Linked DNA regions of Oryzias latipes. The protein of the gene in region 1 purifies or fractionates together with the protein of each later gene. This does not show direct contact. Links are inferred from orthologs where the notes say so. Each region holds a gene or a part of one and is shown on either strand. Other genes may lie near its edges. The genes, in order: nphp1 and nphp4.

What was found.
Region 2: the proteins of nphp1 (region 1) and nphp4 purify together in Homo sapiens (co-immunoprecipitation; 6 studies listed by BioGRID and IntAct, with this or other methods). This does not show direct contact. The link is inferred for Oryzias latipes from reciprocal best matches to the Homo sapiens genes NPHP1 and NPHP4.

What each region holds. Positions count from the first base shown.
Region 1 is NC_019873.2:15,307,469-15,311,802, reverse strand, and holds the start of nphp1 (nephrocystin-1), read left to right. Parts: upstream 1-1,233; 5' UTR 1,234-1,524; coding exon 1,525-1,590; intron 1,591-1,940; coding exon 1,941-2,002; intron 2,003-2,525; coding exon 2,526-2,586; intron 2,587-2,898; coding exon 2,899-3,032; intron 3,033-3,204; coding exon 3,205-3,388; intron 3,389-4,084; coding exon 4,085-4,186; intron 4,187-4,328; coding exon 4,329-4,334. UniProt on the Homo sapiens protein: Together with BCAR1 it may play a role in the control of epithelial cell polarity. Involved in the organization of apical junctions in kidney cells together with NPHP4 and RPGRIP1L/NPHP8. Does not seem to be strictly required for ciliogenesis.
Region 2 is NC_019865.2:668,547-672,898, reverse strand, and holds the start of nphp4 (nephrocystin-4), read left to right. Parts: upstream 1-1,436; 5' UTR 1,437-1,949; coding exon 1,950-2,123; intron 2,124-2,263; coding exon 2,264-2,401; intron 2,402-4,352. UniProt on the Homo sapiens protein: Involved in the organization of apical junctions; the function is proposed to implicate a NPHP1-4-8 module. Does not seem to be strictly required for ciliogenesis. Required for building functional cilia.

The DNA.
Region 1 (4,334 bases):
TTTATTGCCTGAAAAGGAGTGGAAAGAAGCCAAAAACCCCTATTGAGTTAATTCATTTTATAGTTTTATAGTTTTTGTAATCAAGTTCTGATCCGATAGATTCTTTTCAAGGAACAATATCCAGTGTCTAGTAATGATTGAATATCTTCAGAAAACATTCATTCTTGATTTCAGTAAACAGTAACGGTAACCATTATGTAATAACAATTGATTATTATTAGAACACATTATCACATTAAACCAGTAATTATTGCTGCACATTGCATATCAAGTAAGGAAAATCAATAGCTTATTGATTGTAATTCAAACATTTTAGTAATCATTTTTGCACATTAATACTCATTGGTTGTAATGATTATTTCACCACAGTCAAGTTCACACATATATTTGGAATTATTCACACACGTGTTGATCCTTAACTCCTCTTATCTTCATATTGTGAATTCAAAGTTTCTTTATACCTATTCTTCAATAGTTGGATATTTGAAGATTAAGTTCATTACTTAACCCGTTCCAAAGTTTAGTTCCACACACCGACACATAGAAACTTTTCTTTGTTTTTCTTATCCATTTGATCCTAAAGTTCCTAAATCTTCTCAGTTTGTAGCTTCCTAAGAACTGTTTTTGGATATTGAATGGTAATGATTCCCGACTAGCTCTGTAGAGAAGTTGTGCAGTGTAAAAATCCACAAGGTCATACAGTTTTAAAAGTCCAGATCGATGAAATAAATTAAATAAATCAAGATATCCGGCTTTATGTACATTTCTGATGGCTCGTTATTTAAGTAAAAAAGAGGATGTAGTGAGGTATTACAATTATTCCCCCAAATTTCTATACAGTAGGTGAAATATGGTACTATTAAGGTGCAGTACAATAAATATATACTGTCGTATTCTAATATATATTTAGATTTATCTATCATTGAAATACTTTTTGAGACTTTAGTTTGTATGTGTCTGATGTGTTGCTTCCAATTCAATTTGTCGTCGATAACAACCCCTAAAAATTGGATTTCTGTAACACTTTCAATAAGGACATTATTTATTTCAATTGAAAGCTCAGTAATGGCGTTGTAGTTACCAAAAACATCACTGTGGTTTTTTTGTTTAAAAAATGCTATATGAAATTATTTTTTTTCCAGTAAAGAAAACTTTTAGAAAGGTTCATTTTAAATTCGTGTAACGTCAGCTTTTCTTACAGCTGCTTACATTTTTTGGCCATGTTTCACGCCAGGCCACTGGGGGGCGGTAACTGCGCATTATTTACTTGTTACTGAAGCAGGGATAGTCGCGTTTCAGATATTTTTGCATTTGTTTCTAGTTTTACAAAGCTTATCTTTAGTATTCAAACAATGCGTAATACATAAAAATATACTTTTAATACATAAAATATTAATACGTAACATTTTTTAACGATTTACACAAAAGTATGTTGCCTAGCAACTAGTGATTCTGGCGTCATATTAGCAAGCTAGGCGTTTGGCTAACAAATGAGACTTTCTTCAGACCCAAAATAGAGCCTAGATGCCGCTTAAAAGAAGAGGACCGTTACAACTTGTCCAGAGAGAAGTGGATGAACTAAAAAAGCAGGTGTGTTTTATAATAGCACCCTCTCGTGTACAATAAACTAACCGTAAAAAGCAGTGTTGGGCAGGGTAAGAAGAAATAAATCTTGATTTGAAGCCTAGATGTTGCATTTTTAGGTAGGCAAATGTAAAGTAAACCCCTGTAAACTTGTGCTTTTGAACAAGTCCGATTTAAGCAACGGAGATGCAGGCAGATGTGAATAATAGCACAAAGAAATATTTTATCATTGAAAAGCTAGAAGGCATCCACTGATCAGATCATTGAATTAAGCAACCGAGATATTATTATTCAAAAATCATATACCATACAATTAAACATACTCACAATTTCTGTAATTTTTTTTCCTAAAACAGGTCGATAATTTGGTAAAGGATGTGCAAAGTAAGGTTGGATCTAATGAAGAGGCTTTTCGAAGGTATGAATCGTTTCTATACTAGTTTCATTGCTTCCAAAAAGCAGTGTCTGTTCATTAGCCAAACAAGAGCAAATAGCTATAAAACTAAAAACTGTAATTCCAACTATAAATGTTAACTTTTTTTGTCACTGTTATCTTAAGTACACAACAGAGTCCACACCCATTATACATGTAAAAATGTAAACATTATGCTTTCAAGAAACACGTCTGTGAAAGCTTTCACAATAAATAGCAAATTAACTAGGAGCTTCTCAAAATATCATTGGATCACATCGTTTCTGCTCTTCTTAAGGCTGGAAGTCTGTCCAGATTTTCTCTATACATATTTTTACCTTCAGTGGTGATCTTTATAGTTGGATGGATATTGATGTTGCTTTAAATACAATTTTATTGTTGGATTTTACAGTTCTTTGTCTCTTTTTATTAGAGTAAATTAATACTTAAAGAAACTCTCAGTTTAAATGTACTATCGCAAACAAGAAGTGTTAAATTAAACTTGTGTTGCATTTATATTTCCCAACAGATGTCAAGATCTGCAGATGTCAGCAGAGAAGACACTAAAGACTTTGCAAAAGCTCACAAAGGTTCATATGCCTCCAACTGTCATTTGTAACCCTTGTGCTATCCTAGGCACTTTAACATTGGGAGTTGGGTCATCTAGACCCACTAGACAGTGCTCTGAACCTTTTTTCTTCAATGATTTGTGATCTTCACTGGTGTCCATGGATTACATGAAATCTTTCCACCTTTATCCACCTTTGTCATGGTAGGGAGAACACGTCAATGTAAGGGTGGGGTCATCTAAGATAGCACAAGGGATAATAGGTGCAGCAAAGTAAGACAACAGTCTAAGTAGTCAGTGATGTCACTTTATAATGTGATGTACTGTTTTGCAGGCCGAGGAGCCAGCTCCTGTGGGTAACTATGATCAGAGGAAACAGGAAGAAGAGCGACGGCTGCAGAAAATCGTGGAGCGTCTGAATGATCTTTCTCTGGATCTTTCACCACCTGGACCCAGTCGTGACACCGGGTCAGCTCCAGCAGAATATAGAGAAACAAATTCCAGACTCATCATTTTTTACAAGAAGTTCCATTTGCAATTATCCCTGCTGCTGTTGAGACTTCAAGAGTCTCCCAGAACCAGAGATATTTGTGTGTGTGTGATGGAAAACTTAAACTTCCTATCTTGTCTTATTCTACAGTGACGTTTCAAAGGATGAGAGTCAAAGGGAGGCTAATGAAGATGAGGAAAGCAGTAGTGATGATGACAGTGATGAAGACTCAGATGATAAAAAGGCTGTAAAGCCACCATTACAATCAGACCTCTGGATCTACACTGTCCTGAGTGATTTCAAAGGAGAAGAGGAAGGAGATCTGTCAGTTCAGGTAAATCCCCCCTTTTCAGAAAGACTGAAGCTAATTTTATGAATTTGTTTTTTTCTTTCTTTGCATTTTTAAAAGTAATGTAGCAAAAGAACATCAGCTTAAATTGTGTGTCAATGTATGCATGCAATATAAAAACTTATTTCACTTTCCAGGCACCTTTTAAATGAACTGCTTATGTGTTGATTCTTGGCAAAATTGGAGCATTAGTGTTATTTGAATGTTGAATGTTATTTGAATGCAGTACTTGATAAAATCAGAAGATGGAGCCATAGCCACTTCATGGCAAATAGTTGTACTTTGTTTAACCTTTGTGCTATCCTATGGGGTCAAGCTTACCATTGACATGTCCTCCCTACCATGACAAAGGTGGATAAAGGTGGAAAGATTTCATGTAATCCATGGACACCAGTGAAGATGACAAATCAATGAAGAAAAAAGGTTCAGAGCACAGTCTAGTGGGTCTAGATGATCCAACTCCCAATGTTAAAGTGTCTAGGATAGCACAAGAGATGAAAGACGATCCATCTTAATAGGTTTTCCATCAACATGCTTTTAGATTTATAGCCTTTTTAATGTTGTAAAATCATATTCTCCTCATTTAATTCAGTGTTTAAAAATGTGCTTCTGTGAAAATGTGTTTTGTACGTAGCTCCTGGCCAACAAAAACCTTAAGTCTTATTGCTGTCTCTTTTTCAGAGAGGAGAGGTGTTGAGGATCATCCGAAAGACGGTGGATGGTTGGTGGCTCGCTCAGGACTCGAAAGGCAACAGAGGAGTGGTTCCAAAGACATTTCTGAAGGTACATGGTCCATTTCAGACACCTTCACTCAGATTTATACAGTTTTAGATATTTAAATAAATATTTGCTCTTCACCGAGAAGAAGAATAAACTGAAATGCAAACAAAAATTAAAGACTGTGGAGGTGAACATTGTCTTTTAGTTTGGC
Region 2 (4,352 bases), on another chromosome or scaffold:
ATGCCTTACCCCCTATGATCTGTGTTATTATATCTTTTATAATTATTTTAATGTTTTTTAATGTATGTAGACTTTTTTTAATCAATTGGTATTTTAAATTATTTTAATTGATCAGTGAACTACAAAAACCCATCAGGACACATGTCCCACAATGCATTGTTTTGTAGTCATGCGGGCAGCTTACAGTCAGTGCAGTACTAAATTTCCAGCGTGATCTCAAACACGCTTATTGTGCATCTTGGCTGCACATATTTGGTGTCACCAACATGAATTTCCATCCGTTTTGGAGCCGTTCTTTGATCTCAGGTAACCATTGTTCTGATCTCCAGTGAACAGTACCCGTTCTTTTAGGAACCACAGTTTGAATTCAACTATGAAAATATAAGAGTGGCTGACCGGCTGCTCTACAACATCTTGTGACCGGGGTTTAAATGTGCAAAAAGTCATCAGGAAGAAAATCCAAAAACGATTTCTGAATTTTGTTTTTCCTTTACTGATTTGTGGTTTAAAGAGTAAACTTAAAAAAAAACTTTCAACACAGACTCAAAATAGGGAGCACATCCTCTCTGACTAAATTTCAATAATCATCTTCATCCACACTGAGGGTCTCAGCTGTTTGGGAGGAAGTGCTGCCAAGTATCCATCAGTGAGAAGAAGACAAGAGAATCCGTGTTCAGAAGAATCATTGATGGATTTACAGAACTGTAGAATTTAAGTCTTCTTTTGTGTTTAATAGTTATAATTTAACAGTGTTAACTGAACTGTGTTAATAAAGATGTTTAAATCAGAAAACAGTAGATATAGAAGACTAAATAAACAGAAATGTATGACTGATTTATTTACTTATTGATTGATTTTTTTGTTTACATATTTTATTTGAATGAGAGTTTTATAAGTACATTTTGCACAGCAATCAGTTAGTAATAGAGTATAGTTACTAGTATAGTATATGTTCCATACAAATCTATTGGCTCTCAGACACTCACTAGTTGCGTGTGTGTGCGTTAAAGTTGCGGCCCTCCCTCAGCTAGAGGCCTTCTGTGGCCCCCAGGTAGATTGAGTTTCAGACCCCTGATTTACATGTTGGCTAATATTTAGCGAGTTAAACATTTAGCTCCAAACGAAATATTTTTACTAAAAAGCTAAATATTTAAATTGAACTTAAATAAAAATCTTAAATGCTTAACTTGGAAAATAAATATTCAGGTTAGATCTAAATGTTTATTTTGTAAACTTAATATTTAATTTTAGAAATTAAAAATTCAGATTACAAAAGAAACATTTAGTTTTATAATCTAAATATGTAATTATAAAAAATATTTAACTTTAAATTAAATAACTAGCTTGCTCTGCCACAGACTGGCGACCTGACTGACCCCCCCCCCCCCCCCCTCGGTCTTCGCCCACAAGTGGCCGGGAAAGCGGGAAAGGCTCCAGCAGCCACGTGACCCCGGTTTAGATGATTAATGAATGAATTAGCTTAGTTAGTAAATGTAACAAATATATTAATTAAAAGGCGAAAATATGCATTTAAAAATGAAACTTGTCATTTCACCTTAAAACAGGCTAAATAACCGAAAATATTACTGTTATTCTTTGACTGTTCAGCTTTACAAACGGCATCCCATGCGTTACCATGGAGACGGAAAGTGAGTTGGGAAATTCTAAATTCGGGGTTTTATTTATGACAACAACTCATTTTTACCAACTCTAAAAATAATATTTATAGCTGTTTTAAATTAAATTACTTCCAGCCATTTCTACTTCAATGATTCTATTCGTACATGAAGTTTCGTGAACTTTTCTGTGATTGTGTCGGAAAGCATTTGGCCGGCCACCCCTCTGAGCTAAATGGTACGGTCCCATTTCAAAATGGCGACGGCGTCTTCCAAAAGATTGTCCAGTTTTGAACTTTTTTCCCTCTTTTTCCCGCTCCTTCAGCTCTGGTGATGAAGACTTCGGACGCTGTGTGTGTCGTGGCGCCGAGCCGGGAGGGGGGGTTCCGGTTCCACCGGTTCGTGCCCCCCTCCGGGCAGACCGCCCGCGCGGCGGCGGACAGCTTCAGCCAAAGCCGCGGCTTCCAGCTCGGTCCGATGCGGATCAGTGCGCCGCACCTCCCGCAGGTGAGCGCGGGTCCCGGTCTGAACCCGGTTCACATCTGTAAAAACGTAACCGGTTGGATGACACGTGATCGAGGATCTCTGAGGTAAAGTCCGAGGCTGTGGTTTCGCGTGAAGTTCATGGAAACGTTCCTCATCTCCAGGAGATGTTTGCCGGAGAACCGGACGCCAGTTTCCAGCTGAGAGCGACGCTGTTCGACCGGAACCAGCTGCTCTTTTTTGGGAGGACGTGGAAGAGTTCCGCCCAGAAGATGAAAAACCAGAAGATCTCCTTCAATCAGGTACACGAGGGTTTCTCCTCGACACGTGAAGTTTTCTGTAGTTCTCCTGAGGTCCAGACTGTAAAGTTGGGTTTATGCAGCCCCATCATTTCTATTTATACCAGCAGCGTTTAAACCCCCCCCAACCGTCCAGCAGACCGCTGTTGACCAATCAAGGATTTGAACCCTCCCCTCCCAGTTTCTGGGTGGACACTGTCGTACTAGGCCATGCAGCCGGTTTCAGATGCTTTAGCAATAACTGAACAGTGATGGATCTGCTGGTTCTGGGAAACGTCCCGTTATTGTTCCAGTCTGTTTGTGTTCGAGCTGTTGAGTTCAGGTCCGTTAAGGTTAAAGGTGTCAGTCAGGACTGCAGGACAGACTGAAGGAGCCTGGAATGTTCTGGGGGCCCGTCCACCGTGAACCCCGCCTTCCCCCAACAGTAGCTGGGCAGCGTTAGAAAGAAGGGGAAAAAAGTGGCAAATGTTATTTGGTTGTTCTTGGATACCAATATTCAACAGCAACCAAACCGACTCAGATGTCAGAACTTACATCTTTATTTCTTCTATACATCTAATATCAACTGCCTCTTATGATGGACATTTAAAAAACTCTTTAAATATTAAAAACAAACATTTTACTAAATATTGAAGCATCTGGTTACACAAAGTATTGCCAACTAATATCTTTATAACTAGTATCTTTACACAGATTTACATACATTGGTTCTTTTTTTTGGTTTTGATAATTGTTGCTTAAAGAATATAAAATACAAAGACTGTTGTAAAAATTTAAAATATCATATCATCCCATGAAAAAGGTTTTTTTCAGCTCATGTCAGTCTGTTCTGTTCTGAGTGAAAGTTAAAGTGTTTTATGAATGTGTTTGAAATCTACTGTTAATGGGCTGATTATTTTGAACGTGTTTTTGGAGACCTCTAGCGGTCGCGCCAGGTACTGTTGTTCAACACATTTATTTGAATAATCTTTATTGAAAAGTCCACATGTAGAAACAGAAAGGATTCGCTAGCATGCCCGCACTTCGTTTGTCGGTGGAAAGAATTTGCTACATACGTCCCAATTCACAGGTTGCCAAAAACTAACCCTTGAAACTTGAAAAATAGTCGAAAAACACCAAAATGTTGAATAAAAGACCAGGTTGTCACACGGTCAACCATCAGGTTCATTTTTGGTTGTCCTACGTGAAATCTGGTTGTCTCGGTTAACAGGATAACCGCTTATTTGGAATACTGCTGGGATAGGCTCCAGCAACCCAGTGACCCAAAAGGGCGGCTGCGGCTCCTGCTGCTCCTGCTGCTCCTGCAGCTCCTGCAGCTCCTGCAGCTCCTGCTGCTTCTGCTGCTTCTGCTGCTCCTGCTGCTCCTGCTGCTCCTGCTGCTTCTGCTGCTCCTGCTGCTCCTGCAGCTCCTGCTGCTTCTGCTGCTCCTGCTGCTCCTGCAGCTCCTGCTGCTCCTGCTGCTCCTGCAGCTCCTGCAGCTCCTGCTGCTTCTGCTGCTCCTGCTGCTCTTGCAGCTCCTGCTGCTCCTGCTGCTCCTGCAGCTCCTGCAGCTCCTGCTGCTTCTGCTGCTCCTGCAGCTCCTGCAGCTCCTGCTGCTTCTGCTGCTCCTGCTGCTCCTGCTGCTCCTGCTGCTCCTGCAGCTCCTGCTGCTCCTGCAGCTCCTGCAGCTCCTGCTGCTTCTGCTGCTCCTGCAGCTCCTGCTGCTCCTGCTGCTCCTGCTGCTCCTGCAGCTCCTGCAGCTCCTGCAGCTCCTGCTGCTCCTGCAGCTCCTGCTGCTCCTGCTGCTCCTGCTGCTCCTGCAGCTCCTGCTGCTCCTGCTGCTCCTGCAGCTCCTGCAGCTCCTGCTGCTCCTGCAGCTCCTGCTGCTTCTGCTGCTCCTGCTGCTCCTGCTGCTCCTGCTGCTCCCGCAGCTCCTGCAGCTCCTGCAGCTCCTGCTGCTCCTGCAGCTCCTGCT